Linked DNA regions of Stegostoma tigrinum. The protein of the gene in region 2 purifies or fractionates together with the protein of the main gene of each other region. This does not show direct contact. Links are inferred from orthologs where the notes say so. Each region holds a gene or a part of one and is shown on either strand. Other genes may lie near its edges.

The links.
Region 1: the proteins of crsp7 (region 2) and polr2c purify together in Homo sapiens (affinity purification with mass spectrometry; 3 studies listed by BioGRID and IntAct, with this or other methods). This does not show direct contact. The link is inferred for Stegostoma tigrinum from reciprocal best matches to the Homo sapiens genes MED26 and POLR2C.
Region 3: the proteins of crsp7 (region 2) and cdk19 purify together in Homo sapiens (affinity purification with mass spectrometry; 4 studies listed by BioGRID and IntAct, with this or other methods). This does not show direct contact. The link is inferred for Stegostoma tigrinum from reciprocal best matches to the Homo sapiens genes MED26 and CDK19.
Region 4: the proteins of crsp7 (region 2) and cdk8 purify together in Homo sapiens (affinity purification with mass spectrometry; 5 studies listed by BioGRID and IntAct, with this or other methods). This does not show direct contact. The link is inferred for Stegostoma tigrinum from reciprocal best matches to the Homo sapiens genes MED26 and CDK8.

What each region holds. Positions count from the first base shown.
Region 1 is NW_026728366.1:52,486-60,253, reverse strand, and holds the start of polr2c (DNA-directed RNA polymerase II subunit RPB3), read left to right. Parts: upstream 1-4,710; 5' UTR 4,711-4,783; coding exon 4,784-4,869; exon of another isoform or gene 4,870-4,885; intron 4,886-7,768. UniProt on the Homo sapiens protein: Core component of RNA polymerase II (Pol II), a DNA-dependent RNA polymerase which synthesizes mRNA precursors and many functional non-coding RNAs using the four ribonucleoside triphosphates as substrates.
Region 2 is NC_081383.1:43,779,642-43,786,944, reverse strand, and holds the start of crsp7 (mediator of RNA polymerase II transcription subunit 26), read left to right. Parts: upstream 1-4,284; 5' UTR 4,285-4,698; coding exon 4,699-4,761; intron 4,762-7,303. UniProt on the Homo sapiens protein: Component of the Mediator complex, a coactivator involved in the regulated transcription of nearly all RNA polymerase II-dependent genes.
Region 3 is NC_081357.1:24,441,837-24,449,673, reverse strand, and holds the start of cdk19 (cyclin-dependent kinase 19), read right to left. Parts: upstream 3,155-7,837; 5' UTR 2,335-3,154; coding exon 2,207-2,334; intron 1-2,206. Other genes in the region: amd1 (S-adenosylmethionine decarboxylase proenzyme), read left to right, coding at 3,672-3,781.
Region 4 is NC_081359.1:77,361,940-77,369,164, reverse strand, and holds the start of cdk8 (cyclin-dependent kinase 8), read right to left. Parts: upstream 3,203-7,225; 5' UTR 2,983-3,202; coding exon 2,855-2,982; intron 1-2,854.

The DNA.
Region 1 (7,768 bases), on a different chromosome or scaffold from region 2:
GGAGCCAAGTGGCCTATTCCCACACTTGATTCATGTGTCTCTATGATCATGCACTGACTCTATTCAGTCATTCTGGGGTCAATCACTCCGAGCTCAATCACTCTTGGCTGTTTTCTCCTACAGGTTGAGTTGACGAGCAGAGCTCTTTTCCTTGGGCTGAGGGGAGCTGCAGTGACGGTAAGTGTCAGCTTTTGGGGATTTACCACCAAAGGTACTTGCAGGAGGCAGGCAGGAAGCCGCCCTGAATCTCAGTTGTGGAGAGACTGAGGACCTTAGGCCTCAGCCACGCTGAGGTTACTGGCCCCCAGCAAGGTGGTCCTGGGCCAGGGTGGGTGCTCCTAATCTGGGTGATTCCATCCTCCAGTGTTGGAAAAGGGTAGCATTGATTATACTGGTGCAATTGAAAGCCACTTTTACCATGTGTTGTCTGTAGCTGTGCCTGAAGCATCGCCACTTTCATGCCACTCTGTGCCACTTACCCTGAGATAGCCATAGTCTATGGGAGAGGGCAGGACAGCCAATCCCATGCTCTGTATCCCATGCTGTAACTTCTCCTCAACCCTGCGGGCTCCAGCCCCTCCCCTGGGGTACTGGCCCAGGCTCCTCCCTGCCCTCAGGTTGCGCCTTCCCTTTGGGCCAAGTTCTTCTCCCTACTCCTTACCTTCAGGCCCACACCTTGCTGCTGCTGACGATGGCTCCTTTTTCTCTTTGCAGTTGAAGAACCTGAGTGGCATTGGGCAGCACCAATGAGCAGCGTGCTGGCCATCATGACCAACAATGTGTGGACCTGGCACCATAGAGATCTTGTCTGAGGCAAGGCTGCAGACTGTGTACATGTCTGTGTGGGTGTGTACACCATGTATACATGAGTGAGTGTGTGGGTGTGTAATGAGTGTGTGTTCAAATAAAGAGCAATCAATGAGAAAACAAATGGTCCTGTAGAGTTCTGTGTAGCCTGCTGTCAGATACCATGATGGATGCATGTGGATAGGGAGGAAGTGTATATATTTTCTTTCATTCATTTGTGGGAAGTGTGCATTGCTGGCTGGGTCAGCATTTATTGCCTGTCGCTAATTGCCCTTGAGAAGGTGGTGTGAGCTGCCTTCTCGAACTGCTGCAGTCCACCTTCTCCTCTATCCATCTTCAGTCCGCCTCCCCGTCTCTCCCTATTTATTTCAGAACCCTCTCCCCCTCCCCCATTGCTGATGAAGGGTCTCGGCCCGAAATGTCAGCTTTTGTGCTCCTAAGATGCTGCTTGGCTTGCTGGGTTCATTCAGCTCCACACTTTGTTATCTCGGATTTTCCAGCATCTGCAGTTCCCATTATCTCTGATCACAACATTGACTTTCCTGCTGCTCTGATGCTGCCTGGCCTGCTGTGTTCCTCCAGTCTCACAGCTATGTCCTTCTAAGGCCCAACCAGCTCAATCGGTAGTACTGCTGCGGCACGGTGGCTCAGTGGTTGGCACTGCAGCCTCACAGCACCAGGGACCCGGGTTCGATTCCAGCCTCAGGTAACTGTGCGGGGTTTGCATGTTCTCCCCATGTCTGCGTGGGTTTCCTCCGGGTGCTTCAGTTTCCTCCCACAGTCCAAAGATGTGCAGGCTAGGTGGATTGGCTATGCTAAATTGCTCCTACTGTACAGGGGTGTGTGGGTTATAGGTGGATGGATCTGTGTGGGATGCTCGAAGGGGGAGTGTGGACTTGTTGGGCCAAAGGACCTGTTTCCACACTGTAGGGAATCTAATCGAAACTACTGTTGGTGGTGGACATTGAAATCATCCATCCAGAGTACATTTTGTGCCCTTGCCATCCTCAGTGCTTCTCCCTAGTGTTGTCAAATGAAGGAGTCCCAATTCATCAGCTGAGAGGACTGTATGTGGTAATCAGCAGGAGGTTTCCTTGCCCATGTTTAACCTAAAGCTATGAGATATCATGGAGTCCAGAGTCAATGTTGAGAACTCCCAGAGCAACTCCCTCCTGACTGTATATCACTGTGCCAACACCTGTCCTGGGTTTGTCCTGCTGATGAGACAGGACATATCCAGGGACGGTGATGGTGGTGTCTGGGATACAGGGGGAGGGGTGTACGTCGACACGGGGGAGAGGTGCATATGGATACAGAGGGAGTGTGCTTATGAATATAATGAAGGATGTATTTGTAGAGTTTCGGATGATGATAAGGTTGTCCAAGCAGGATATCAATTATTTAATATTTGAGTTCAAAAATGGCAGTTGGAGTTTAACCTAGACAAGTGTGAGGTAATAAAAGTGTGGATCTGGAGGAACACAGCAGGTCAGGCAGCATCAGAGGAGCAGGAAAGCTGACTTTTTGGATCAGGACCCTTCTTCAGTGTGAGGTGATGCGTTTTGTGATATCAAATGCAAGATGAGAGTGCGCAGTAAATGGCCAGACCCTTAGGAGCATTGATATAGAGAGGGTCTTGGGATCTGAGTTCACAGTCCCTGAAAGTGGCAACAAGAGTGAATGAGGTGATAAATAAGGCATATGGCATGCTTGCCTTCATTCATTGGGGTATTGAGTATAAGAATTGGCAAGTCGTTCAGTCGTACAAAACTTCAGTGAGGTCAAATTTAGAGTAGTGTGCGCTGTTCTGGTTGCTGCACTATAGGAAGGATGTGGAGGCTTTGAAGAGGGTGTATAAAGAGGTTTACTGGGATGTTGCCTGGATTGGAGTGTATTAGCTATAAGGAGAGATTTGGACTGATTTCACGAGAGCATCCAGAGACTGAGAGGTGACTTGATAGAAGTACATAAAAATGAGAGGCAATGATAAGGGTGGTTCGCCAGAGCTTTTCCACAAGGAAATGTCAGATACAAGGGAGCATAAGTTTAAGGTGCCGGGGGTGGGGCGCAAGAGGGTGGTAGGTACCTGGATGACAGGTAAAAATGGATAAGATAATTTTAAAGAGGCATTTAGAGACATGAGATTAGTTCAGAACGACATCATGGTTGAGAAAGACATGGTGGGCCAAGAGGCCTGTTCCTGTGCTGTGCTAGACTGATGTACTACACAAACATAGTGGCTACAAGAGCAAGTCATAATCTAAAAATCCTGCAGCGTGTAATTTGCTTCCGGACTCCCCATTGCAAGGATGCATGTATCATAGAATCCCTACAATGTGGAAACAGGCTATTCAGCCCAACAAGTCCTTCCAAAGGGTATCCCACTCAGACCCATTCCCCTACTCCTGCATTTCCCATGCCTAACCCACCTAACCTAAACATCCTTGGACACTATTAACAATTTAGCACGGTCAATGCACCTGACACATCTTTGGACTGTGGGAGGAAACCCACGCAGACACAGACAGTCGCCTGAGGCTGGAATCAGTCCTGGGACCCTGGCACTGAGTGGCTGCAGTATTAACGACTGAGCCACAGCCCTTAGTGGAAGGGACATTCAAAGATTTCTCTGTATGACAAATCTCCTGAGCCCTAAATATTCAGCCCCTTATTCTGAGACAGTTTCTCCCTGTGTTCCCACCCACCGAAGCCTGGGAAAATATGCTTCCTGCAGCTACTCCACTGAGTTTTGTAAAAATTTAGTTTGCACTAGTGAGGTTATCTCTTAACCTTCAAAACTCTAGAAAACATCAGCCCAAGTCCTCCATAACTCCTTATAGGTTCATGTCACCATCCTGGGGATCCTCTGCTGTAGTCCCTCAACAGCAAGCATATCCTTAGGTAACAGACCAAACTGGACACAAATCTGGTATGGTCTCACCAAGGAGTGGAATGCCTCATCCTAGGAGCAGATGCGGCTGAGGTGGAGGAATTGGAGGGATGGAATTTTTGCAGGAGGGTGGGTAGGAGGAGGTGTATTCTAGGTAGCTGTGGGAGTCGGTGGGCTTGAAATGGACATCAGTTACAAGCTGGTTGCCTGAGATGGAGACAGAGGTCCAGGAAGGTGAGGGATGTGCTGGAGATGGCCCAGGTGAACTGAAGGTTGGGGTGGAAGGTGTTGGTGAAGTGGATGAACTGTTCAAGCTCCCCTGGGGAGCAAGAGGCGGCGCCGATACAGTCATCAATGTAACGGAGGAAAAGGTGGGGTTTGGGGCCTGTGTAGGTGCGGAAGAGGGACTGTTCCACGTAACCGACGATCCCCCTCATTCTCACACACCACCCCACCAACCTCCAGATAGAACGCATCATCCTCCGACACTTCCGCCATCTACAATCCGACCCCACCATCCAAGACATTTTTCCATCCCCACCCCTGTCTGCTTTCCGGAGAGACCACTCTCTCCGTGACTCCCTTGTCCACTCCACACTCCCCTGCAACCGCAGGAAATGCTACACTTGCTCCCACATCTCCTCCCTCACCCCTACCCCAGGCCCCAAGATGTCTTTCCATATTAAGCAGATGTTCATCTGCCAATGTGGTATACCGTATCCACTGTACCCGGTGCGGCTCCCTCTACATTGGGGAAACCAAGCGGAGGCTTGGGGACCGCTTTGCAGAACACCTCCGCTCGTTTCGCAATAAAAAAAAGAACTGCACCTCCCAGTCGCTAACCATTTTAATTCTCCCTCCCATTCCTCAGTCTAGGCCCGAAACGTCAGCTTTTTGGGTTCCTGAGATCCTGCTGTGTTCATCCAGCCCCACACTTTGTTATCTCGGATTACCACTCCACTACAGCCTGCCGGGACGGTGGGTGGAGCGGCTCCGCGGGGCTTGCTGGGATAGTGGAGGAGTGGTAGCCAGGGAGCTTGTCGGGAAAGTGGAGTAATCCTCCGGGGGAGTGCCGTTAGCAGCGCAATGCCGTATGCGAACCAGCCGACGGTGCGGATCACGGAGCTGTCTGACGAAAATGTGAAATTCGTCGTGGAGAACACCGAGCTCTCGTCAGTGCTTTTTGGGGTGGGTGGGTGGGGGGCGGGGGAAGAGAGAAGGGGCTTTGAGGTGGTGCGGAAGGTGACCCTTCAGCCCTTCTATCCCGTGCTGGGGGCCGGGTGCTGATGGCCCAACCCCACCGTACGAGCAGTGAAGGATCTGGCTAACTCGGATCTGCACTACTTTCTGGGGGTCATCATTTCTTTTAAAAACGAAACCACTCCCTCCAGCTGTGCTCTCACCGAGGCCCCACAGCACATTCCCACTTTTATATTCAAACCCCTTGTAACAAATGCCACCATTCAATCGAGTTTCCTCGTACTTGCTGTATTTGTGCGTGCTAACCCATTGTGGGATTCACAACCTGGAAACTAGATGGCGCTATGTACCTCAGTTCTCCGATCTCTCCCTCGACCTTTAAAAGTAAAATGCTGCTTTTCTATTCTTCCCGTCAAAGGGGAGAAAGTTACACTTTTCATGCACTTGACTCCTAAATCTGCCCATTCACTTAACATATCTGCATCCCATTGTAAACTCTCCACTTCTTGACACTTTATTTTCCGGGCCGTCATTGACAAATTTAGCAGCTGTATATTTGACTATCTCATCCAACCTCTTGATTTAAGTTGTGAGTAGTTCAGTGCCCAGAACTGATCCCTGTGGCACTCCAGTTGTTCAGCTTGCTAAGCTGAAAATGCACCATTTATCTCTGCTGTCTATTATTTAACCAATTGTATCAATGCTGATAGAATGTCTCCCTGTCTACTAAGCTGGTACCTTTTGGAAATACAAATTTATTATATTATTAGTTGTTCTCTATTCATTAGGATGTTATTTCATCAAATAGCTCTAAAAGACCAGTTAAATACAATTTCTTTTTTACAAAACAATGTTGACTCCGATCTTTTGCTACCTCCCCACCTATACTGCCCTCTCCATCTATCTTCTCCTCTATCCATCTTATGTCTGCCTCCTCCTCTCTCCCTATTTATTTCAGAATTCTCTCCCCATCCCCCTTTTCTGATGAAGGGTCTAGGCCAAAAATGTCAGCTTTTGTGCTCCTAAGATGCTGCTTGGCCGGCTGTGTTAATCCAGCTCCACGCTTTGTTATCTTTGACTCTGATCACTCGTTTTTTGAAGTATTTTGCTATAGCCTCCTTACGAGTTGATTGAAGCATCTTCCCTGTGGCGGATGTGACACTGAGCAGCTTGTAGTTTCCTGCTTTCTGTTCCCCTGTGTTCTTAAAGGTAGAGGGGTCGGTTAGTTCATTTGGCTGGATGGTTGGATTGAATTGCAGAGTGTGGCCAACAGCATGGGTTCAATTCCTGCACCAGCTGAGGTTGCCATGAAGGACTCCCCTTCTCATCCTGTCTTCTTGCCTGAGCTATGGTGACCCTCAGTTTAAACCACCAGCAGTTGTCTCTCTCTAATGAAACAGTAGTCCTATCGTCGAGTAAGACGATGGTGACTTTAATTGAATAAAGATTTGCTATTTTCAAAACTGCTGTGATCTTTTCCAAAATCCAGGGAATTTTCTAAAATTATAATGAATCCCCCACTATCTTTGTAATTTCTTTTAAGACAGCGCAACATCGAGGGCCGAAGGGCCTGTTCTACGCAGTATTGTTCTATGTTAGATCCTGGGGACCTTCAAACTTTAGGTCAAATAGTTTTCCCAGCAGCTTTTCCCTGGTGATGGTGATTACTTGAAATTCGTCTCTCTGTATCACCTCTTGATTTTCAGTATCTACACGGAACCCAACATAAAATAGTTGGTAAAAATCTCAGTGATTTCTTTAATTTCCATTTTCAATCCTCCAGATTCACTGTCACAAGAGGACTAATACTATAACTTTTATTCTCTGTTTTTGTTCCCATCTAGCTAGATATCACTCATAGTCTGCTTTCTGCCACTCCACTTAATATTTATGTAATTTTTTAAATTCACTGCTGGCTCTTAAATATCTGTCGACACCTCTGACTTATCACTACTCATTAGAGAATTGTACAGTGACAGCACAGTGCGGAGCTGGAGGAACACAACAGGTCAGGCAGCATCAGAGAAGCAGGAAAGTTAACGTTTCGGGTTCCAATCCAAAATGTCGACTTTCCTGCTCCTCTGATGCTGCCTGACCTGCTATGTTCCTCCAGTTCCACACTGCGTCATCTCTAACTCCAGCAACTGAAGTTCTATCTATCTCTGAGAAAATTATACAGTGCTTCTTTCAGTCGAACACTGACCTTAGTTTACCTATTCACCATCAGTTGATTCATCCTTCTCGAGGAGTCTTTGGATCTCACCGGAATAAATTTTTGCTGAGAGTCATTAAATGTGCCTTTAACAGTCTGCCACTGAGTTTCTATTGTCCTACCTCATAAACTAGTCTCAGTTTAGCCAGCTCTGCTTTCTCAGTCAAATGAATCCCTTTATTTACTTTAAAATCCTAGTTTGAGACACCCGAGCCCTGATAGCTTCACATTGAATATGTAATTCTATGACTGCTTATTACCTACAGTCTTCTTTCTCATAAGATTATGTAGTCATAGAGGTCTACATCAAAGAAAAATACCCATTGGCCCATTGAGTCTGCGCTGGTCAAACACAAATACCCAACTATTCTTACAGAGGTAGTAGGAACTGTCTGTGCTGGAGAATCTGAGATAACAAGGTATAGAGCTGGATCTACCTAGAAGGGTCTCGACCTGAAACATCAACTTTCCTGCTCCTCTGATGCTGCTTGGCCTGCTTTGTTCATCCAGCTCTACACCTTGTAACCTAACTATTCTATTCCCATTTTCCAGCATTTTGCCCATAACCTTGCATGCCTCAGCATTACAAGCGCACAACTAAAAACTTCTGAAATGTTATTATGGTTTCTGCCTCTACTACCCTGGCAGGCAGTAATGAA
Region 2 (7,303 bases):
TGACGAAGGGTCTAGGCCCGAAATGTCAGCTTTTGTGCTCCTAAGATGCTGCTTGGCCTGCTGTGTTCATCCAGCTCCACATTTTATCTCAGATTCTCCAGCATCTGCAGTTCCCATCATCTCTTCCTCTCACCTATCCCCTCCTCCCACCTCAAGCCGCACCCCCATTTCCTACCTACTAACCTCATCCCGCCCCCTTGACCTGTCCCTCCTCACTGGACTGACCTATCCCCTCCCTACCACCCCACATACACTCACCTTTACCAGCTCCATCCCCGCCTCTTTAACTTGTCTATCTCCTCTCCACCTATCTTCTCCTCTATCCATTGGGATCCGCCTCCCCCCCTCTCCCTATTTATTTCAGAACCCTCTTCCCCTCCCCCATTTCTGAAGAACGGTCTAGGCCCGAAACGTCAGCATTCCTGCTCCTAAGATGCTGTTTGGCCTGCTGTGTTCATCCAGCTCCACACCTGGTAATCTCGGATTCTCCAGCATCTGCAGTTCCTATTATCTCTATTACATCTGCTGGTTTTGTATGCTTAGATGGTAGAGGTCACAGGTTTGGAAAATGCTGTTCAAGGAATCTTAGTGAGTTGTTGTAGTCCATCTTGTGGATAGGAAACAAAAGTTTAAGGTGGTAGATGGATGTCAAACAAGTGGGTTCCTTCATCCTGGATTTTGCTGAGTTTCTTGATTTTGTTGAAGCCTTACTTGGAATTCCACAGCACACATTATTTGTAGACGGTGGGCAGGTTTAAGGAATCAAGGTGTGAGTTACTTGCTCCCAGCTGTCTCATCTACTCTTGATCCAGCTAATTTTATAGTGAATGGTAATGCCTTGAATCTGGAAAGTGACAGTTTAGCAACAATAATGCCATTTAATGTAAAGGGGGGAGATGTTTGTTATTAGATTTTAGGAGCATAAATAGGCCATTCAGTCCATTAGTTTGCTCTGCCATTTTGAGATCACGACTGATCTGATAATACTCAATCATGCTTTACTGCCTTTTTTCCATTATCCTCAATTCCTTTACTGATTAAAAATCTGCCTATCTCAGCCTTGTTGATCCAGCCTTTACAGCCCTTTGCAGGAAAGAATTCCAAATTCACTATCCTCTGAGAAGAAACTCCTCATGTGTCTTAAATGGGTAACCACTTAGTCTGAGATTATATACTCTCTGATCCTAGACTCTCCCTCAAGAGAAACAACTTTTCCATAACTATCCTCCAGGTCCCCTAAGTGACTTGCATGTTTCAATTAGGTTGCCTCTTATACTTTTAAAATCCAAGGAGTTCAATCTCTCCTCAACACATTTCCCCTGAGTTCAATTTTGTGGTCAATCTAATGCCACACTTGCTACCTGATGTCAAGGATGGACATACCATTCTTGACTTTAGTATGAAGGTCTCTGCATGGCTGTCTAGCCAGGATATGCTTGTGCTGTTTGTAATGTATTGATTAATGTCAGGTGGTCCATTTGTTTATATTCTTATTCAACTTTTCAACTGGGTATGGTTTGCTTACTAAGCCATTTGAAATGTCAGTTAAGAGTTAACCACATCGCTGAGATGTGGAGTGATACCTACCAGAGCAGACAGTCAGCATATTTCTTCCCTGAAAGATACTAGTGAATCAAGTGAGTTTGTTTGTATGACAATCCAGTATCTTCATGATCATCATGACTCAGACAAGCATTTTATTGTCGACTTATTAAATAAATTTAAGTTCCTTTGTGATATAATTTCAAATTATGTCACCAGAGTATTCATCTGACCTCTGGATTACTTTTCTCGCAACATTATCACATGTTGTCATTTCAATTCATTACTGCAATTCCACCACAAATTCAGTGGCCACAGCCTGCATCACACATTTGCTTCTAAGCAGTCCTAGTCCCCAAAGAACAAAAGCAAAATGAAAACGAAAAGCATCAGAGGAACTCAGCCGAACATGAGACCATAAGACATAGGAGCAGAATTAGGCCATTCAGTTAACTGAGTCTACTCTGCCATTTGATCATGGCTGATATGCAACAGAGTAGGATTCCTCAGCCAAGCTCATCTGCTCTATCCGTTTCTTTTCTTTTTTCCTCTCCCTGTTTTTTTCTTTCTGGCCTCCTGTCCTCGGGCAGCATTGGCAGCGTCCAGGGCGAAAGCCAGTGTAAACTCTCAGTCCTATGGTGGCATCGACTCTGGCCCCAGGGTGGACATGAAGTCCTGGCCTCAGTGTGGGATTGAACTCCTAGCTTTGAGGTGAAGCCCGGTGTGATCTGAGTTGGAAGACCTGTTGTTCTGAACTCTTGTTTCCCTGTTTTTCTGGTTAATTGTTGGACTTTTAATTTCTTTGTTTTTCAGAATTTTTTTCCCTAAGGAATTTGTACTTGAGAATCTGTACCTAGGTACCTAAGTTGGTGCTGTAATTGGTGAGTTGTAAACTCTTCACTGTACTCATGTGAGTATGTGACAATAAAGCTAATTCTAAATTTCTCAACCCCATTCTCCTTTCTTCTTCCTGTACCCCTTGCTCCCCTAATTAGTCAAGAACCTATCTACTTCTGTCTCAAATACACTCAATGGCTTGGCCTCCACAACCTTCTGTAGCAATGAGTTCCAAGGACTAACCACTCTGGCAGAAGAAATTCCTCCTCGACATTCTGAGGCTTTGCCCCCCAGGTCCTATTCTCTCCTACTAATGGAAACAGCTTCTCCATGTTCACTCTATCCAGGCCTCTCAGACACAGTAAATTTCAGTGCGATCATCTTCTACACTCCTTCTAGTACAGACCCAGAGTCCCCAACCATCCTCATAGGATATGCCCTTATCCCCGGATTATTCCTGCAAACCCCCTCTGGATCTCCTCCAATGCAAGCACATCCTTCCATATGGGGGTCAAGGCTGCTCACAATATTCCAAATACAATTTGACCACAGCCTTTCACAACCTCAGCAATACGCTCTGTTCTTGTATTTGAGCCCTCTTGAAATTAAAGCTAACATTGCATAGCCTTCTTAACTGCCAACCAAATATGCAAAGTAACTTCAAGAGACATCTGAACTAGGACGAAGTCCCCTTGTACTTAAGATGTCCAAAGCCTTTCCCCATTTAGAAAATAGTTTACACATTAATTCTTCAAATCAGATACCTGTGGAGAAAGAAACAAAGAATTAATATTTTGAGTCTTATAACTCTTCTTTGGAACTGAACAAAAGCACAATACTGTGGATGCTAGAAATCTGAGATTAAAAATAGAAAAGACTGGAAACATTCAGCAAGTCAGGCAACATCTATGGAGAGAGAAACAGTGTCAATATTTCAGGTTTTTCACTTCAAAACTTTTACCTAATGGAGAGTCATTGACTTGAAATGTTATCACTCTTTCTGTCTACAGATACTTAATGACCACCTGAGATTTTCCAGCAATATCCTCATTTCATCAGCAAAAAAAATCCTGTGTATATGAAAAGTGCTGAAAATCCAAGTCTTTCTTTTTGTAATTAATCACCATATTCCATAGAAAGAGAATATAATTGCTTAAACTGAGACTGAATTATATTCAATATGTTTTGAAGGAACAATATCAGACTGGAAACATTAACTCTGTTTCTCTGCTACAGATAGTGCCAGATCTGCTGAGTTTCTTTCCACGTGTCTGTTTCAGATTTCCAGCGTACACAGTATTTTATCTGTACTCATGGTATCCTTGGGCTCACTCTGTCACCGTCTCCACAATCTCGCACTCGGTCATGGCACCCAAAGGACATGTGCTTCCAGTCTGGACACTGACTTTGCCGAAACGTCAGCTTTTCTGCTCCGAAGATGCTGCTTGGCCTGCTGTGTTCATCCAGCTCTACACTTTGTTATACTGGCTTTACCCTGACAAGTCTGTTATGAAGAAAAGATCACCTCATAAACTTCTGGAGAATCTCTTCCCACTTACAGTCTCGTCTCATGAGTTCTCCTGGAGACGCTTTCCGAGTGGTTCGTCACCATGGCAACAACCGCCCGCTAACAGACCGGCCACGTGCTCATCACCCCCAGAATGGTTGGCGACCCCAACAAATCTGCGCCTGCGCACTCCGAGGGGGTATGAATGACGTCAGGATTGCGACGTGACGGTACGGCGCAGGACGTGCGAAAGGGACGGGGTAATGGAACTGGAGCGAAAGTACGGGGACGCGCCCTAGCGCGCCGTTATTCTGTCTCCGGCGCACGCATATGGCGGATGATGTACTCGCGCGCGGTTTGTGACGCACGCGCGTGTGCGCGCAACCGGAGCGCAGGCTTCCCGTGGTGCAGCGCGCGGCCTCTCAGTTAGACTCGGTGGAGAGTGAGTGTTAGCTTCGTTTCGCTCTGAGCTGTTCTCTGTTCGGTGGCGGCTGCTGCTGCGGCGGTGTTAGTGCCGGTTCCCTTCAGGCAGCTGACGGACAGCCGGGAGAAAGTGAGGCGCACACTGGACGCACGGAGCCACCCGAGAGCGCTGCGGCGGAATATGACGGTTCCGAGCGGCCCTGCTGCAGCCGCCGCCGCCGCTCTTCGCAGCCACTTCCTCAGACTCTGCGCTTCTTGTTAGCGGGGCTTCCATCCCCGTCCCTCTCTCCCTCTTCCCTCCCCATCTCCTCTTGCCCCCTTCCTTCTCCCCTCCAAACCCCCACCTCGTCCCCTCCACTGCTGCGCCGCCGCCGCCACACTGCCGCCAAATGACACCCACCCCGCAGCAGATCAAGGACCAGCTGCTCCAGGCCATAGACAAGGATGCCAATGTAAGAACCAGGCCGAATGCCTGCACGCAAGCCCCTGGTTCGGGCCTGTGACGGCCTGGGGTTGGTCTGTGTGAGAAAGCGTGTGTGCATAGAAGAGAGTGAACGCGGCCTAACGGGACAGGCTTCGAACCCAGGCCCGCGATGAGTGAGTGAGGAGAGGATTGGAGTGAAGTGGTTGTGGGTAATGGGTAGAGAGCCTGGGCTGTATTACGGCTTGTTCAAGGCTTGGGGGAATTAACCTCCCAGCGTGGAGCAGCAGCAGGATTCCTCTAAACCGTTTCAACTCCCAGCTTCCACGGGGTTTTACAACACACTCTGGGTGCATCTAGCATATCACAGTTACACTCAATGATTCGTCCCAGCATGTATAAAGCGTTTAAGCATCTGCTAATGCTTGTGGTCATCCAAATTGTTGGGAAGTTACTCCTATTTAAAATGGTGACCAACTGTTGTACTCTTTACTGCCTTTTTTAAAGTTAACTGTACATAGTCCTTATGAGATGACATTGTACACATTGCCTGAAATGGGAAGTTTATTTGGTATATATCTATTTATTAATCAATAAATCATTTGATTAAATTGGAGATATAAAATTAAACTTTTGCTTCTGCAACTCTTACCCCTACCCTAAAACAAAGAAAGCTGGGAGTTGGAATGAAGTCATACTGTGGCTAATGTTTCAGCGGGAGGGCATTGAATTCAGTATTTTCACGTTGAAGTGGTTGCTTCAGTGTCAGGGAAGTACATACGGGAGAGCAGATAAAATAGGCAAACAGGAAGTGGCTACTGGAATGATGGGTAACTTGGAGCTCCCGACTAACATTAGCACAGAGTAAATGTAATGGGAATGTACTGAATTTTAGGATAATTCTAATTTAACTTGTAAAAATTTGCTGGAATTTTTCACATGAATCTTCTGAGCTTCCACAAATCAAGATTTATTTTGTGTGGTGAAGTTACAACTAAATAGTAGAGGAATTCTGCTGCTGTATATTTGACAAATGTGATTGTTTCACTATTTCCAAAGTTGTTAGTGCAAATGAAGGTTATACTCTACTCGTTGATAATCTGTGCAGACTTGTGATAACTGAATAATAGGTTTAAACCAGAAAACTGGTTCAACGCATGTGTTTGTGTCACTAAGCTCTTATGAGACAATCTGAATTTCGGAACATTTGCAAAGTGTTGTTATAGTGTTCAGTTCCAAAATCAAATTTCTTGCTGCTCATGATATAGAATAAAGTGAAACTTGTGCATCTCTTTATGAAGCGGTAAAATTTGCAGTTTATCTCTGAGACTCAGATTTGCTGAGGAAGATTTCTTTCATATGGTGAATTGGATCTGCTAATTAGTGTTGGTCCAGTTCTGCAGTTTTGCATCTAAGTATAGTTTACAGCTATGCATAGTTTATTTGATTCCAGAGAATGTTGAGGAAAATTTTACAATCTTAGAAACTTGCAATATGTCCATGCCTGCATTCATACTCTGAAAAAGCAGTTGAGATTCCTTTTTCTGATGAAGGGTCTAGGCCTGAAACGTCAGCTTTTGTGCTCCTAAGATGCTGCTTGGCCTGCTGTGTTCATCCAGCTCCATGCTTTGTTCTCTGAGATTCCTTCTCCTTTGCTTTTTGACTGTGCCACTGAGTTCCTTGATGTCAGTACCTGTTCACCTCCCTTTCAAAGCTATTAATAAAATCAATTTCCATCATCTTGAGTAAATGATCCAGATTTTGATACACTCAGCTTTTCTCCAACAATTTTGAATATGTCAAGTCTAGATATTGACTCACTAGAGCAAATGTTTTCCCCTTTCACGTAACCTGCCATGTATCTATTAGGAAACATTGAAATCTCTGTTCAAAGGAGAGAGAAGGATCTCATCCGTGGTAACACCCTGGTAAATTTCCTCTGTGCCCTTTCTCGTGTCTTTGTATCTTTGCTGAAATGTGATGCCCAGAATTGACTGCAATGAGGCCTTAACCTTTGATTTATAATGTTCTGCCATAATCTCTTTGCTTTTCTATTTGGTTCCTTTGTTTATAAACTCAAATAATCCATGTGCTTTAACTACATGATTAATTTGCTATGCCGTCTTTAAGATGAACATCAGGGTATCTTTACTCTTGTACACTTTTCTAAAATTGTGCCGTTGTGTGCTTGATTTGTTAGTTGCCCACAATCTTCACTTCAGTTGAGTTTGATCTGTTGTGCTCCAACCCATTTCACCATTCTGTACCAACCTGAAGGCTATAAAACTGTGTTTATCATTGACTACTTTACCTTGGCTTTCATATTATCTATAAGCTTTAAAAATCTATCATTTATAAAAATTGTGAAGCATGGTTCATGAGTAATTGATTGTTTTTGCAAACCACTCTAAATGCCCTCCAAGTGTGAAAAATGTTTTTGCTGCCACCACCTATTGTTTTCTTTCATTGAGCTTATTTTTGTATCCATGCCAACATTCTCCCTTTATTTTTATGGAGTTCCAGCTTCTGAATAAGGCACTTTTTGTCCCAAACGTCCATGTTTGCAGTGGCTG
Region 3 (7,837 bases), on a different chromosome or scaffold from region 2:
CAGTTTCATTTGCCTTTTGTCTTCACTGTACTCAGTGTTCCTGAATTCAACAGCTATGTTCACTATAAAGTATTTTTCTGAGAATGTACCAAAATATTATTTACAAAAGCAAAAGCAAAACACCACAGATGCTGGAAATTTGAAACAAAAAGAAAAACTGGATACACAGCATCGGTGGAGCAAAACAGGCTCTAATTTTTCAATAATTCATGCTGACAATAGGGAGGGGTGTTGGGTGGGGTCGTAGAATTGCTACACAGCGTGGGGCCCACAAATTCCACAGCTGGCTTCACGCCACTTCCCCTGTCCTGTACACAACTACATAGGTGTCAGCCCTAGCCTGGGGCAGTTCCCCCACCATCAACTCATTGCAGGCCTTCAATGACTAATTATTGGTCACTCAGGGCCTGTACCCACTCAACAGCAATTTTTTGGCTAATAAGAAGAGTTCAGGGACTAATGGCAAGTTGGGGACCCACAGCTTACCCTAATCAGGACTTTGGAGGGGCTGACATATCACTGACACCCTCTCCAAAATGAACACCCACAGCCTCAGCTCCCACTAACCTAGCTATCATGAATCCCACTCTCACCTCTTCCCTTTGTCTAATCTTCCTGGATCCCTAGTGCTTACAGTCACCAACAATTGAATTGCTCTGGGTAGTGCTGCTGCAGTGAAGACATGTGAATCAGTACTTTAGATGATCACAGGTTTATCTCATTGCCTGTCATTTGTCAGTTAGCACAGTGAAACAAGAGCTTGTCTTTTAGTGTGGAGACGCTGTTGTGTTGCAGATATCACACAATTCTGGCTGATCAGGAATCTTTTTTACACTTTTTGCCTGCTAAAGGCGTCAGAAGGATTTACAGGTTGATAGTCAACCATTTTGCCATGTTATGAACCCATCTTTCAAATCCATCAAGTCCTACCATCTGACTTGAACACAAAGCCTGCGAATTACAGGCAAGAAGGCTAACAATTGCACCACAAAATCTCCCTGAGCACAAGTTTATGAAGAGCAAAGTGTGGGATATTAGGAGTGCATCGGAATCATCAAGTCTATAGGTAATGAAAGCATAGAAGAGGATTACAGCTGAGAAGGGGGTTAAGTCAAAAGATATTAGAAATGGATCAAGCTGTCTTTGAGGTGGCACAAATATGATATCAGCTCACTACTGGATCTGACATAACACTAGAATTGCAAAGAGATTGATTTAATATCAAACTGTTGCCATGGAGAGGGATGCAGTTCATAACAAAGGATTTATACTCTTTCTCTAAAAGGATCTAACGGCAGATTATTTGAGGAACCCCAGATTTCGAACAATACTCTAAGTCAACTCAAAAACAAAGTTGCTGGAAAAAGCTCAGCAGGTCTGGCAGCAACTGTGAAGGGAAAAACAGAGTTAACGTTTCGGGACAACAAAGTGCAGAGCTGGATGAACACAGCAGGTCAAGCAGCACCCTTAAACGTTTCGGGTCCGGTGACCCTTCCTCAGAATTCAGATGTCAACTCATCTAACTTCCTCACGAATGGTCAGCCCCATTTCTACTTTCACTCTGCCTTGGAACCCAAGTCGACATTAACTGACACATCAATGCAAATTGCTGTTATCATATCTAATTTTATGCACGGAAGTAAACCGCACAGTTCGGTCAAAGAATAAAAGTAAATACGTTGTTCATTACTTACTTATGACTACAGTTACAAAATACAGTACCTAATATTCAAAAACACGGTCAAGATTTAGGACTTCTAAGTATCTGAGTGTTGTGAAACATGGAAGACAAGCTACATTTTAATTTGACAGTTCCGAAATGTGATTTAGTCTTATATTATGGGCAGCACTGCTTTAACAGCTGGCGTTCAGCCGAGAAAAAATTACTATACAAAGTCTAGAATAAAAGAAAACCGAAGAAGTAGTCTGTTTTATATCATACCAATAAACCTATCAATAAATACATAGTTTCCAAAACAATGGTTATGAGGGCTGGAGGCCTCGGCTTGATTAAACGGGTTACAATAAGGAGTTGTAAACACAAGGTGTGAGGATATATTTACAAACCAGAAACATCAACATTGGTCTTGCAGCACGTGAACTGAGTAACCCAGAAATAAACTTTTAAAAAGGCATACTCTGATAAGTCTTACTGGGCGCCTGCAGCAACACCTCACAAAATCGCCTGAAGGTACTGATTTCTTACCCATCTTTTCTTTTTGCTTTGTAAACATGACCGTAGGTACCACGACCCACTTTGCAACCTTCATATTCAAACAGATCTTCTACTTTCTCTCGCTCTGCTGCTAGTTTCGTCTTAAAATCGTAATCCATGACTGTCACTCCATAAATGCATAAATACTTTCAATGTCTGTTGGAAGGGGGAGGAAGGGAAACGGGCTGGATTATTTAAACTGAGCACCGATCATTTCCTTATTTCGTGTGTATTTTTTTTGTCTCTTCCAACAAGTTCGCCCGGCGACATTTAACCATGGGTTTGTTATGTTGACGTTAGCGGCAGACAATGGCGGACCGCGAGGCATGCCGGCATTTGTAGTCCTTAGAGCTTCGGCAGGGCCTTGACTAGCGCGGCTGCATCCCGGGGTCAAAGACTACAACTCCCGTCGCTCATTGCTGCGGACGGTTTTAACCGTTTTCGGATCCAAAAGTAAAAACAGTTAGTCCGAGCAGAGCAGCAGACGGGTGTGGGGGTGGGAAAGGGTGAAGAAGCACCGGGACACTGAAATCAATAAACAGCGATAAGATATTCAAATACACATCGGAATAAACCTTCAACATCCCTTTTTGTTCGGAAAAACTAAAATGTATCTGTTACATTCCCGCCTTCTTGCGATACGGCACTGCGATAAACGTGACTGACTGCGAAACGAACCAATCGCGTTAGGAATCGGCCCGAAAAAACGAGGGTGAGATGAAATCGTGCGATGGCTTTTATCGAGCGTTAAAGAGGTTTGGGGCAATTTATTTGCAATGTCTTCTCGTTTCCTTCCCCCCGCCCCTTCCAAACGTGCAACTTTTATAGTTGAATTGGAACGTCGATCTGCGCGCGGCTCCACTAACGGTTTTGCCCGGGCGCAAGGTCTCGCGCCGAACGTTCGACTGGTGATGGTGACGGTAGTGGAGGGAACGGGCAGGGGCAGCTCCAGCCAGGCCGTTGACGTCACAGCAGTTCTATTGTGCCGTCGGTAGAGAGGGCGGTGCAGCAGACAGTTTGGAGAAGTCAAGTGATTGGGTTGGAGCGGATGGGGGTGGTGAGCAAAGGAGGGAGGCGGAGGTTATAAAAGCCGGCGCCGGCGGACGTCTCGCTGCTAGTCACAGTATGGCCGGCGACATTAGCTAGCGCTCGCTGGATGCAATTCTCTGTGTAGAGGGATCGCATTGGGGGCAACTACGAAACATTATATATATATATGTATAAAAAAAACAAACAAAAAAATCTTTTTCTTGAAAAAATAGGGAAGCAAAGCAGAAACCGGACCGCTCAAGAACCCACTAAAACAGAGCAATTGACACTAACTTATTAAGCTTTTTACCAGAGAGAGGGGGAAAAAGGGGGGGGAGGTTTTTTAAAAGAGAAAATAGAATTTGTAGAAGGGAAAAGAGGGAGGAGGAGGGGGCGAATTTTTCTTTCCCCTCTCGTTTGTTTCACGATGGAAAACGGTGCACACTTTTTCGAAGGGACCGAGAAGCTGTTGGAGGTGTGGTTCTCTCGGCAGCAGGATCTGTGCACGGGATCGGGAGACCTCCGGACCATTCCAAGGTAAAATACATATATCATTAAAACAATAATATCAGCTAACAGCAAAATGGTGGGGGGAGAAACGCACCAACTCAGACCGGGGACACTTAAACGCGCTCTCTATGTTCTATGTTCTCTCTGGCCTTGGGTTGTGTGGGTGTGTTGGCGGCCAGGGGGGGTTGGGGAAGCACCGTGTTTAAGGAGATACGCCACAAATCTCAATCAATCTCTCTCTCTCTCTCTCTCTCCACCCCCCCCCCCCCCCAAAAAAAACCAGGGAAAGGAATCAGTGTTAAGGCAGGGAATCCTGGATTGTTCCCTCCTTCAAAATTAAACGATTATTTTATCAATTCCTTATTCAAAAGCCTGTATTGGAGTGGGGGCAGGATTTAAGAGGCCAGGTTAATGTGTGTATATGGGGTGGGTCTGTTGGGGATGTATGAGGGGCTGGGGTGTGTGAAGGTGTGGAGAGTGGTGAGGGTGTTGCAATATCTGTATTTATTGACTGGTTGTGGGGTGTAGGTGTGTTGGTGAGTAGGTGGATGTGTGTGTGGGAACCCTTAGGTTGAACGGGATGCGGGATCTCTCCCCGCCCCCCGATTCCTGCCTGATTTATTTCGAACGGCGGGCGCTGGGCGTGGCCCCATCTCACTCTTCGCCCTCTTTGCTGCCCCGCTGCTGCCATTTTCTGCCAAGCTGCACTTTGTGTGTGTATGTGTTGGGGGATGGTTTGAGTGCGTGTGTTTTCAGTTAGAAGTCTGGCCAACCTAGTAACAGGTGGCCAGCCGCAGTTTCTGACGGAATTTGGGGGTGCTGGATTGGCTGCTCTCACGCTTGTTCCTGAATTTGAGTCGTGGTCTCATTTGTTCAGGGCCGTACCTTCTCTCTCTCTCTAACTCTCCCCCCTCTGGCGGTCAGGGAAAACGTGCCCATTCCTTTCAAAGGGGTCTGTCCTTTTTAAATGTGCACCGTGATTTCCGGGGAGGGGGGTACAGTCAGGCTGAATGCACTCCACGTGTACTCAATAAATTACTTAATTCACAAATGATTTAATAAATAAATTATTCATAAATTATTTAATAAATCCTCTGGTGAGAGGAACATGGGCAAGTCGGTGAATTTGTTCCTCCATGTTTTGTGTTGGATGAAAGGAGGTTTTCTTGGATCATTTTTCTTGGTGGGCATGGGGTCGAAATCTGTCAACACGCTCTCCAAAATGATTGAAGACTTTTTTGTATATCTTGCACTGAGCGGAGTTGTCCGTCCTTCTCGCTTTCTAAAAAAAACTAGGTGGAAGTTAGGTGTGACTGAGTTTGAGGAAACGCTACCTTTATATGAGCAGCATTCCAAACTGGGAACGTTGGTGACCAAGGTATTAAACATTACTGCTCAACAACTTCATCTCTCAAACCTTGCTCGGTGAATGTATGGGGAAAGGGGTCTGTATTTTTTGGCGGGCACATCACGTGTTTGGGTTATCTAACACACAGCCTTTCCCCATCCCCCTGTTGCAGAAACTACATGTTTGCGCCTTTTCCAGTCGGTGGGTAGCAACCGACCCTCCCAGAGTTAAATATGCTGCTGATCGCAAGGACAGCAGGAGGAGCGAAATTACAGACGCCTAGTTTTTTCCCCCCCCATGCGGCGCCTGTTGTGGTTGCCTCATAGTTCAGCATGACTAGTGTAAATTCAAACTGGATTCTCTACACTGAACAGGAATTGTCCGATCGACGTCCGCGAGTTGGCCACTTTTAAAATACTTAATTCAGTTTTCTCCCAGTACTTTGGCAAGTTCTTTCCCCAGGTTGGGGAATACCTGCCCCCTTGTACTCGCCTTTTTTTAAATTTATGTACAATACATGGGTGCCATTGTACAAAGGCCGGTCGCCTACTCCCATCAATCGATACCGCAGTGCTGAGCTCTTGCTGTCTCATTTTACAGCCACAAATAGCGCCCTCTCTGAGCACCGGGAAAAGTCTCCTTTTCTTTGAGATTCCCTCCCTCTAATGTGTTGTCACCAGTTCTGCGTTTCCTGCTATTTTCGTATCGTCAGCAGATAGGATTGATGGCGGGTCTAGATGAATGCCTGAAGTCGAATTACTGGTAGATATTAAAACGTACGCAGTGTTAATGACAAATCTCCGTTCTCAACAAATGTGTGAAGACGTGGATCAGCCAAACGTCGTTTGATTTCAAGTGTAAGTTGGACTTTTGAGAAGTTTACCTTCATGGCTTACTGAAAGCCTGTTTATATTAAATCATACTTACTGCGTTCACGCTGCATATGGGAGGTGTTAACAGGCCGTGGTTGAAAGAAAGAACTCGTCATTTAAGACTTTCCACAACCTCAACTTTATTTCATAACCTCTAGACTAGAGACTTGAAATAGAGAAGCAATACAAGGCTCTGCAAACAATAAAATGTTTCTGTAATGTAGTTTGAGGGAAGGTTGTTGAAAAACCTGTATTTAAATTCACCCAACACTTCCCCAAAGCAGGGGACGGAGATGTACACTGACAACTCCAGTCTTGATTTCATTGATGCTAATCTGACATCCAATATTGAATTAGCAGAAATGTTAAATATTGAAAAGACCAAAGGCATTACTTTCAGAGATAACAAGGTGTAGAGCTGGATAAACACAGGCGAAGCAGCAATTTAGGAGCAGGAAAGCTGACATTTTGTGTCTAGACCCTTCATCAGAAATGGAGGAGGGTTCTGAAATAAATAGGGAGGGAGGGGGAGGCGGATTGAAGATGGAGAGGAGACAGACAAGTTAAACAGGCAGGGATGGAGCCAGTAAAGCTGAGTGTAGGTGAGGAGATAGGTCAGTCCAGGGAGGACGGATAGGTCAAGGGGGCAGGATGAGGTTAGTAAGTAGGAAAGGGGGGTGTGGCTTGAGGTGGGAGGAGGGAATAGGTGAGAGGAAGAACAGGTTAGGGAGGCGGGGATGCAATGAGCTGGAAATCCTGCAATTCATCCCTCACACCCCGTCCGCGCAATAACAACCAAAAAAGAATCCCCCCTCATCCTCACGTACCATCCCACCAACCTCTGGATCCAACGCGTCATCCTCCAACACTTACGCCATCTGCAATCCAACCGCACCACCAAAGACATTTTCCCCTCCCCACCCTTGTCTGCTTTCCGGAGGGACCATTGCCTCCGTGACTCCCTTGTCTGCTCCACACTCCCCTCCAGCCCCACCACACCTGGCACTTTTCCCTGCAACAGCAGGAAGTGCTACTCTTGCCTCCACACCACCTCCCTCACCCCCATCAGAGGCCCCAAGAAGATTTTCCACATCAAGCAGATGTTCACCTGCACATCTGCCAATGTAGTATACATCTTACTCTTCCTCTTCCTGGCAGCAGTTTGAGACTCTGCACCTGCTGTACCTGTTGTGGCCTCCTGTATATCGGGGGAAACCAAGCAGAGGCTTGAGGACTGCTTTGCAGCACACCTACGTTTGATTCGCGTTAAACAACTGCACCTCCCAGTTGCGAACCATTTCATCTCCCCCTCCCATTCCTCAGATGACATGTCCATCCTGAGCCTCCTGCAGTGCCACAACGATGCCACCCGAAGGTTGCAGGAACAGCAACTCATATTCCACTTGGGCACCCTGCAGCCCAATGGTATCAATGTGGATTTCGCCAGCTTCAAAATCTCTCTCTTTCCCCCCCCCCCCCCCCCCCCTGCATCCCCCCCTCCCTAATCTGTTGCCTCTCACCTATCCCCCCTCCTAGCTCAAGCCGCACCCCCATTTCCTGCCCACTTGACCAGTCAGTACTCCCTAGACTGACCTGTCTCCTCCCTTCCTCTCCACCTACGCTCAGCTTTACTGGCTCCATCCCTGCCTCTTTAACTTGTCTGTCTCCTCTCCATCTATCTTTTCCTCTATCCATCTTCGATCCGCCTTCCCCTCTCTCCCTATTTATTTCAGAACCCTCTCCCCTTCCCCCATTTCTGATGAAGGGTCTAGACACAAAATGTCAGCTTTCCTGCTCCTAAGATGCTGCTTGGCCTGCTGTGTTCATCCAGCTCTACGCCTGTTATCTCGGATTCTCCAGCAT
Region 4 (7,225 bases), on a different chromosome or scaffold from region 2:
TGCAGTACAAATGCTCATTTAAAAAACTTACCTAGGAGTACTGATGGCAGACAGGCATCCGTTTATAGCAAAAATATAAAAGCAGTGGAAAATGTGCAATATATATTCAACAGGAACAAGGATCTTTGTTCACTCAGCAAAGGGTAAATAATGATACAGGTATATGGGTTCCAATGACTCATGGCACTATAATGACTGGGTACAAAATTAAGACACTTTAACAATTTCTTTTTCCAAAAACAAGGGTTATGAAATTTTTAAATGGCCACTTAAGCAGGCATTTGAGTATCAGTTTAATTCACCATTTGAAATTGCATCTTGAATAACTCCCTCAATCATGCACTGAGAGACAGTCTAGATTGCATACCCAAGTTCTGGAATGGTGCTTGAACCCACAACTGTCTGATCACGTGAAATTGTTTCACCAGAAACAAACGGGCTTTAAAGCAACAGTATGTAAATCTGTAAACATCTCACATAACAAACAATATATTCTTAACCTTATGACCTTATCCACAAGCAAGGACAACTGCAGACTGTGAAACATTTGGCGTTGGCTTGAAGATTAGGAAAAATTAAATGAGCTGTCTTTTCATAAACTATAAAAGATCAAAATGCTGAAAACTGACATTGCAGGATGGCACGAAATTGTTTTCAAATGTTTAGGAGGGTTTAGCAAATAGGATCATAAAGAAATTAGACGGATATACCAGAATTATTTGTTACCCAGCTACCGTTTGCCAAGATTAAATTATTTTAGATTACAAACAATGCTCTAACTTCAAAATATAGGTGCACAATCTTAAAGACATTCATGGTGTAAGAGTTAAAGCAGATCTTGTTGAATGCATCTTATTTTTCTTTCATTGCAGCTTATAACAGCAAAAGATACAGATGGAATAGACTAGAGCTTACCCGGCTATTCACAGCTAACCTGGGGTTTCAACTCCATTTTCCTGCTGACTAACTCCTATATCCCTCATTTCTGAGGCATACAGTCTGTCCATCTCAGCCATAAAACATATTCAACCTTGCAGGTTGCACATTTTGAGTGGAAAATTTTAAGAGTCACAAGAAACTTCTTCTCACCTCAGTTCTTAACAACAAGAGCTTTGTACATTTCAAAGCGATCATCTTTCATTTGCCTCAACTCCAAAGTATGTAGGTCCAATTTACTCAGCCTCACATCATAGGACAATCTCTCATTGTAGAGACCAATCTAATGAACCCTTACAATTCTGCCTCCAACACAATACAGACATCAATTCACTATGTTCTAGGTGTGGTTTCACCAAAACCACATACAAGTGGAATAAGACTTCCTCATTTTTATTCTCAAACTCCTTGCCATAAAGAACAACATGCCATCTGCCTTCCTAAACGTTTGCTGTTCCTGCAAGCTAAAATTCTGTATTCTTTGTACGAGTATACCCAGTACCTCTGAACATGTACACTTGTATGTTTCATGCTTTTTTAAAAAATTTTGCTTTTCTATTCTAAAAATGAATAATCCACAATGTTGATTCCCACTTACATTAAAGCAATGAGGAAAGAAGATAACTTATCAATTTGACTGATTTCAATTTTGTCACAATAATAGCTGTAATTACAGAAAAAAGTAGGGTTATTCCAGGTACAGTGAGAATTTATTTTAAATGTTTAAAAAAGATTCTGAAGCTCCCTCACTACGATAAGTGCATCTGTGGTGTATTTCTCAACTGGGGAGGTGAGAAGGTCTCAGGTCAACCCTCATTCTATGTTGAATTTGCATATCTTTACTGTACTACGAGGTGCAACAGTATACCAATATCCCAAATAGAAAGGCTAAAATCAGCTGAGTTTTTCTTCCTTAATGGTATGATAATGACTCCAACTATAAATCTATGTGAATGTCCAAATCTTGCCTTATTCTTCTCCACAACTGTAAGACAGTCATAACAAACCAGGAGGGTGCAATCGTTAGTGCTGACAAAGAAAATCATCCACAGGAGGAATGAAAACTAAAAGCAGCTACTGACCCTAACTAGTGTTTGTCAAACACAGCAACATCACCCCAAAAAAATTACAAAAATAAAACTCACATTTTGTGTAAAGTCAAATTCTACAACATGAATTCTATTCCCACTCTTATAAACAACAGCTCGTTTTAAAAAAAAAACCTCCAACAGGTAAATGCCAAGGTCAGAATTAATTTCAGAGTTAGCATTTGAAACCAATCTAAATGCCACTGGAAATCCTGCTGGGGGGGGGGGGGGGGGGAAGGGAAAGAGTGTGGCATTTACATGCATTACTTAAGATTTGGAAGAGCTTTTTAAAGTACTCGTCATTACATATCATTTGAATATCAATAAACTTATGAAATATATCACCATGTGTAACTTTGCCACGAATGTATTTTAAAGGTCGCAAACAATTCAATGAAGATGTCAATCCAACAATAATCAAGAAAACAATTTAAAGTAGGTCCATTAATATTTCCAGCTCTATCCAGACTCATTAGTTTAAAAGTTAATTGAAATGAGAAATAGTAATTATGAAGGATGCATACAAGTTCAAAGGTTTCACGACCAAATGGTTTACTTGACACCATCCCTAACAAAGGCAATAATCAAATATTACTCTATAAAAATACAGTAAAGTTGGTTTCACTCAAGTGCTTTTGCACGTATTTAACCGCAAAGACTCGAAAAGCTGCACCAGACAAGCAACATACTTTACTTCAAAAACAGGTTGCGCACGACAAAGTTATTGGCAGAAAGAACTCAGCTTCGCTCCTTCGCCAATTAAAATCCAAGCAAGAACCTGCATCAAGAATGACCAGCGTGGCCTACATGCTCTTGAAACCTTTACCTACCCGTCTTTCCGTTTGGCTTTGTATACATGACCATAAGTGCCTCTTCCAACTTTACAGCCTTCATATTCAAACAGGTCCTCCACTCGTTCCCTCTCTGTCGTCAGCTTCATCTTGAAATCATAGTCCATTTTCGAAGCTTTCCAATCTATTTTGTTTTAATAGTTGTATTGTCTAACTGAAGCCGACCGCCTCTCTTGCGGGTTCACGATATCGCTGGGTGACACTCGGAGGCACCATATAAGCCGCTGGTTGGCCTGTTGACGTGGGATGGTTGCACGAGCCGTCGCTGCGATCACCCCCTCACCGCTCGCTACCTCTACACAACGCCGGTATCACACATCAATCCCACCTACGGCATTGCCGTAAATTGTCGTGAAGAAAATGCACGCCGCCACTCATTGTATGCCGTTGCCTAGCATATCTCGTGCATGGGTGCTCGCACGCGTGAAGTGTGATGCAAGGTCCTGTGTACGAGCATGTTCGGAATGGATTGTCTAGCGTCCCCGGGATGTTAGGAACATGATAATATGCCGAAGTAATTCCAATAGGCATTTGGTTACTTCAGATTTCATGGCACATAAATAAATGCTGAGCCACATTCGCGTCGAATGAAACCAAAAATATGCCCGTGGGATCCACGTGAATGTGACAAATTAGATCCAAAATGAATTGGATCCGTTATGAGGAAGGTCACCAGACCCGAAACGTTAACTCCGTTTTTTCCTTCACACATGCTGCCAGACCTGCTGAGCCTCTCCAGCAATTTTGTTTTTGTTTTAGATTCAAAACGAACTTCGTGGCCAGCAGCGCTGTGAGGGGCGAAGTCTTTTGACTGGAAGCATGTGTCCATTAGGTGCTGGGTTCCTTGGCGTTGGTTGTGCACCATAATGATCTAGCCTTGAATGTACAGTAGAAGGTAGAATCAGTAAGTTTGCAGATGACCTGAAAATTGGTGGTGAAAATACTTGGAAGGAAAACCTTAGACTACAGGATAATATGGTTGGGCTGGTCACATCAGCTGAACAGTGGCAAAGGAATTTAATCTTAAAGAGTATGAAGTGTTGCATTTTGGGAAGACTAACAAGAGAAGGGAATACATATTCAATGGTAGATCCTAGCAAGTAGACAACCAGGAACTTTGGTATGCTTGTCCATATACCCTTGAAAGCAGCAGGACAGGTAAATAAAGGTGGTTAAGAATGTGTGTAGGTTACGTACCTTCATTGGTCAGGGTGTTGAATACAAGAGGAAGGAGATTGTGATGGAGCTGTACATTATGTTAGTTAGGCCACAGCTGGAGTACTGTGTGGAGTTCTGGTTGCAACACCATAGGAAAAGTGTGATTATTAGAGAAGATGTAGAGTAGATTCATCAGGATGTTTCTTGGCTGGAGTGATTCAACTGTGAAGAAAAACTAGACAGTCTGGAGTTGTTTTCCTTGGAACAAGGAAGGCTGAGAGCAGATATGTTTAAGATATACAAGATTCCAAGGGCAGAGATAGAGTAGATAGGGAGAAATAGTTCCCCTTAGTAGATGTGACGATAACCAAAGGGCAGAGATTTAAAGTTTGGAGCAAGAGCTTTTTAGGAGATTTGAAGAAAGCTTTTGTTTCATCCGTAGAGTGATGGATATCTGGGACATCCTGCCTGAAAGTGTGGAAAAGGAAGGAATTATCAAGTATTAAAGAACTATTTTAATGAGCACTTGAAATGCCATAGTATATGACTGTGGGCCAAGTGCTGGAAAATGGAATTACGGTAGATGGATATTTGATGACCAGGTGGACATGATAGGTCAAAGGGTCTCTTTCCTTGCTGTTAATACTCTGACTTTATTTTTAAAAAGTCAAAGGAAATTTAACTTAAATGACAAGATTTTGAGCTGTATCGCTCCTGTGGACCTGCACCCCCTAGATGCCCACTGGTCACACAACAGCTTGACCGCATGAGCAAAAGTCTTTCCCCAAGATAATCCACATGTGGAGAAAGCCACAGAGAGAGAGGGAGGTAGTATCCATTTGTTATGAGGGAAAATGTAATATGTTATTTGAGAACTTGGAGTCTGAAGTGAGGGGAAATGAACATTAGATATTAAATGAAAATCTGACTTGTGCAGTTCAAAACATTATTTACAAAAAGGCCATGCGATTTCAGCTAAATGACCAGAATTCTACAAAGTTGTTTTGAGTTTTATGGCCAACCGAGAAAGGAGCCATAAGTGTTTTTGTACAGGAGGAAAAGGCCTGTAATAGCATTGATGCTGTTGTTTACAGTTTCCCAGCAGTTGGGGTTGGGGAGAAGTCCTGAGGTACTTAGCTCCAGAGCATAAAGCTATGGAAGTGTCAGAGAAGAAAACATCCTAAAAGCCTATTTCAACACATGAGTTTAATCAACCCATGTTAAGTAACCGTGTGCTGAATTAGCAGACTTTTTTAAGGATCTCAGAAAAAACATTAATAGGAAAAAAAGGTGGAAACTAACAGAAACTGAAAAATTTCATGAATGTGCAGAAATTTACCAAAAAAAACGATTAGAACTTATGCCAACTGAGCAAGAAGCTTTAATGTGGAGATTGGAGTGATTCTTCACTGAGATTTAAGTGCCTGTAAGAGTACTGGCAGGATAAAAAGGATGAATCTTTCTTTCTGATGTCTGTAATTACAACATTCTAATAGTTCCTATTTATTTTTATTCTGTGCAGTAAATGTTGTTTGAAGTCCATTGGGCGGACCCTCATAAATAAATTCATGTGACTGACCGCCATGTGAAACAAAAAGAAAATAGTAAATATAAGGTTTTTCAAGCCAGGCTTCACTCTGGGAACTGATTTCTCTAGCATTATTGTAAGCTGGAATCATAACACTGGATCATCGCATTGGCCACACACAGGAGCAGACTAGTTGTTGTATACACTCTTGTGAGTGAACATGAACAGGCTTTATTAAGTGTAACAATTTACAAGAATTGGGGCCATCTGGAATCCTATGGACCCAGGCTCCTGTTCCATGTGATCAGGCATCATTATGGTTTTGCGCTTTCAATTCTGCTAAGTAGCTATTCTTCAGCCAGTGTGTAATTAACTCTTTATTCCACATCCATGAGAAGGATCTCTGATTTGCCCATCTTCCACCCTAGCCAGACCAAAGGTGCTTAAGTTTTATTTTCATGACAGACAAGATGGCAGTTCTATAGAACAAGAAATTCAGTCTACCAAAATAATATACAAAGTGTGGATTCTTCTTTTTCATGGTGATGGGGAGAAGCAAATTTAAATAATCGCATTTTTGGGTTCCTATCAAACCTTCAACAATAGCAATTGACATAAAATTAAGCGATCAAAAGCAACTGATTGGCTAACAGACAGTCCCACCATCTCTATTATTCGTGAATCTGGAATTAAGAACTGAATGATGACCACGAATCCATTCTTGATTGTTGAAAAACCCATCTGGTTCACTCATGTCCTTTAGGGAAAGAAACTGCCATCCTCACCTGGTCTGGCCTACATGTGACTCCAGACCCACAGCAATGTGGTTGACTCGTAAATGCCTTCTGGGCAATTAGGGCTGGGTAATAAATGCTGCCTAGACAGCGATGCCCTCATCCCGTGAATGAATAAAGAAAATAGAATACTTTAGCCTGGCCACCAATATATGAGTATAATTTGATCAATGAACAATAGATGTCGCAGTATAATAGACTGTTCTGCTACATGTTTTGCAATATTTATTCTGAGACCTTGGCTAACATTAATATAGTGAAAGTATGCTCTGTTCTTGTCGTTCAGCCCTAAAAAGTCTCAAAAGCATCTGCTAACTTTATTGCTGCAATTTGATGCCCAAATTGAATAATATTTATTTTTATTCCTTCACTGGATCTACCCATCATTCACTTGGCCAGCATTTATTGTCCATTCCAAATTGCTCACTCTTAATTGACCAAGACTGCACAGAGACTAAATGTCTATATAAAAGAGAAATCATAACTAAGAGAAGTAAGGATACAAATCTATTTGACAATTAAATATATGACAAGAACGAGGAACCATGACATAAGAATGAACACCAGGAATACCTGGGAATGATCTACAGTGTTGAAATGTGATTTTCAAATGCCATTCTGCAATGAATTATCATAAATGGATTTTTTTTTAAACCACAGATAACACGAAACATTTGGAAGGAGAAGGTGGTAATGTTGACCAGGCAGAAGAAATTGTATGAGTCACAATGAACTTCAGCCCAGTAATGATTCTTTGTTCAAGAACTCATTAAACTGGACAGCTTTGGATGCTGGATGCTAGCCACAAGTAGAACGGTTAAAATGTTGCCTAATTATTTTAAATAATAAGGACTGTAATTTGAGGTTCCA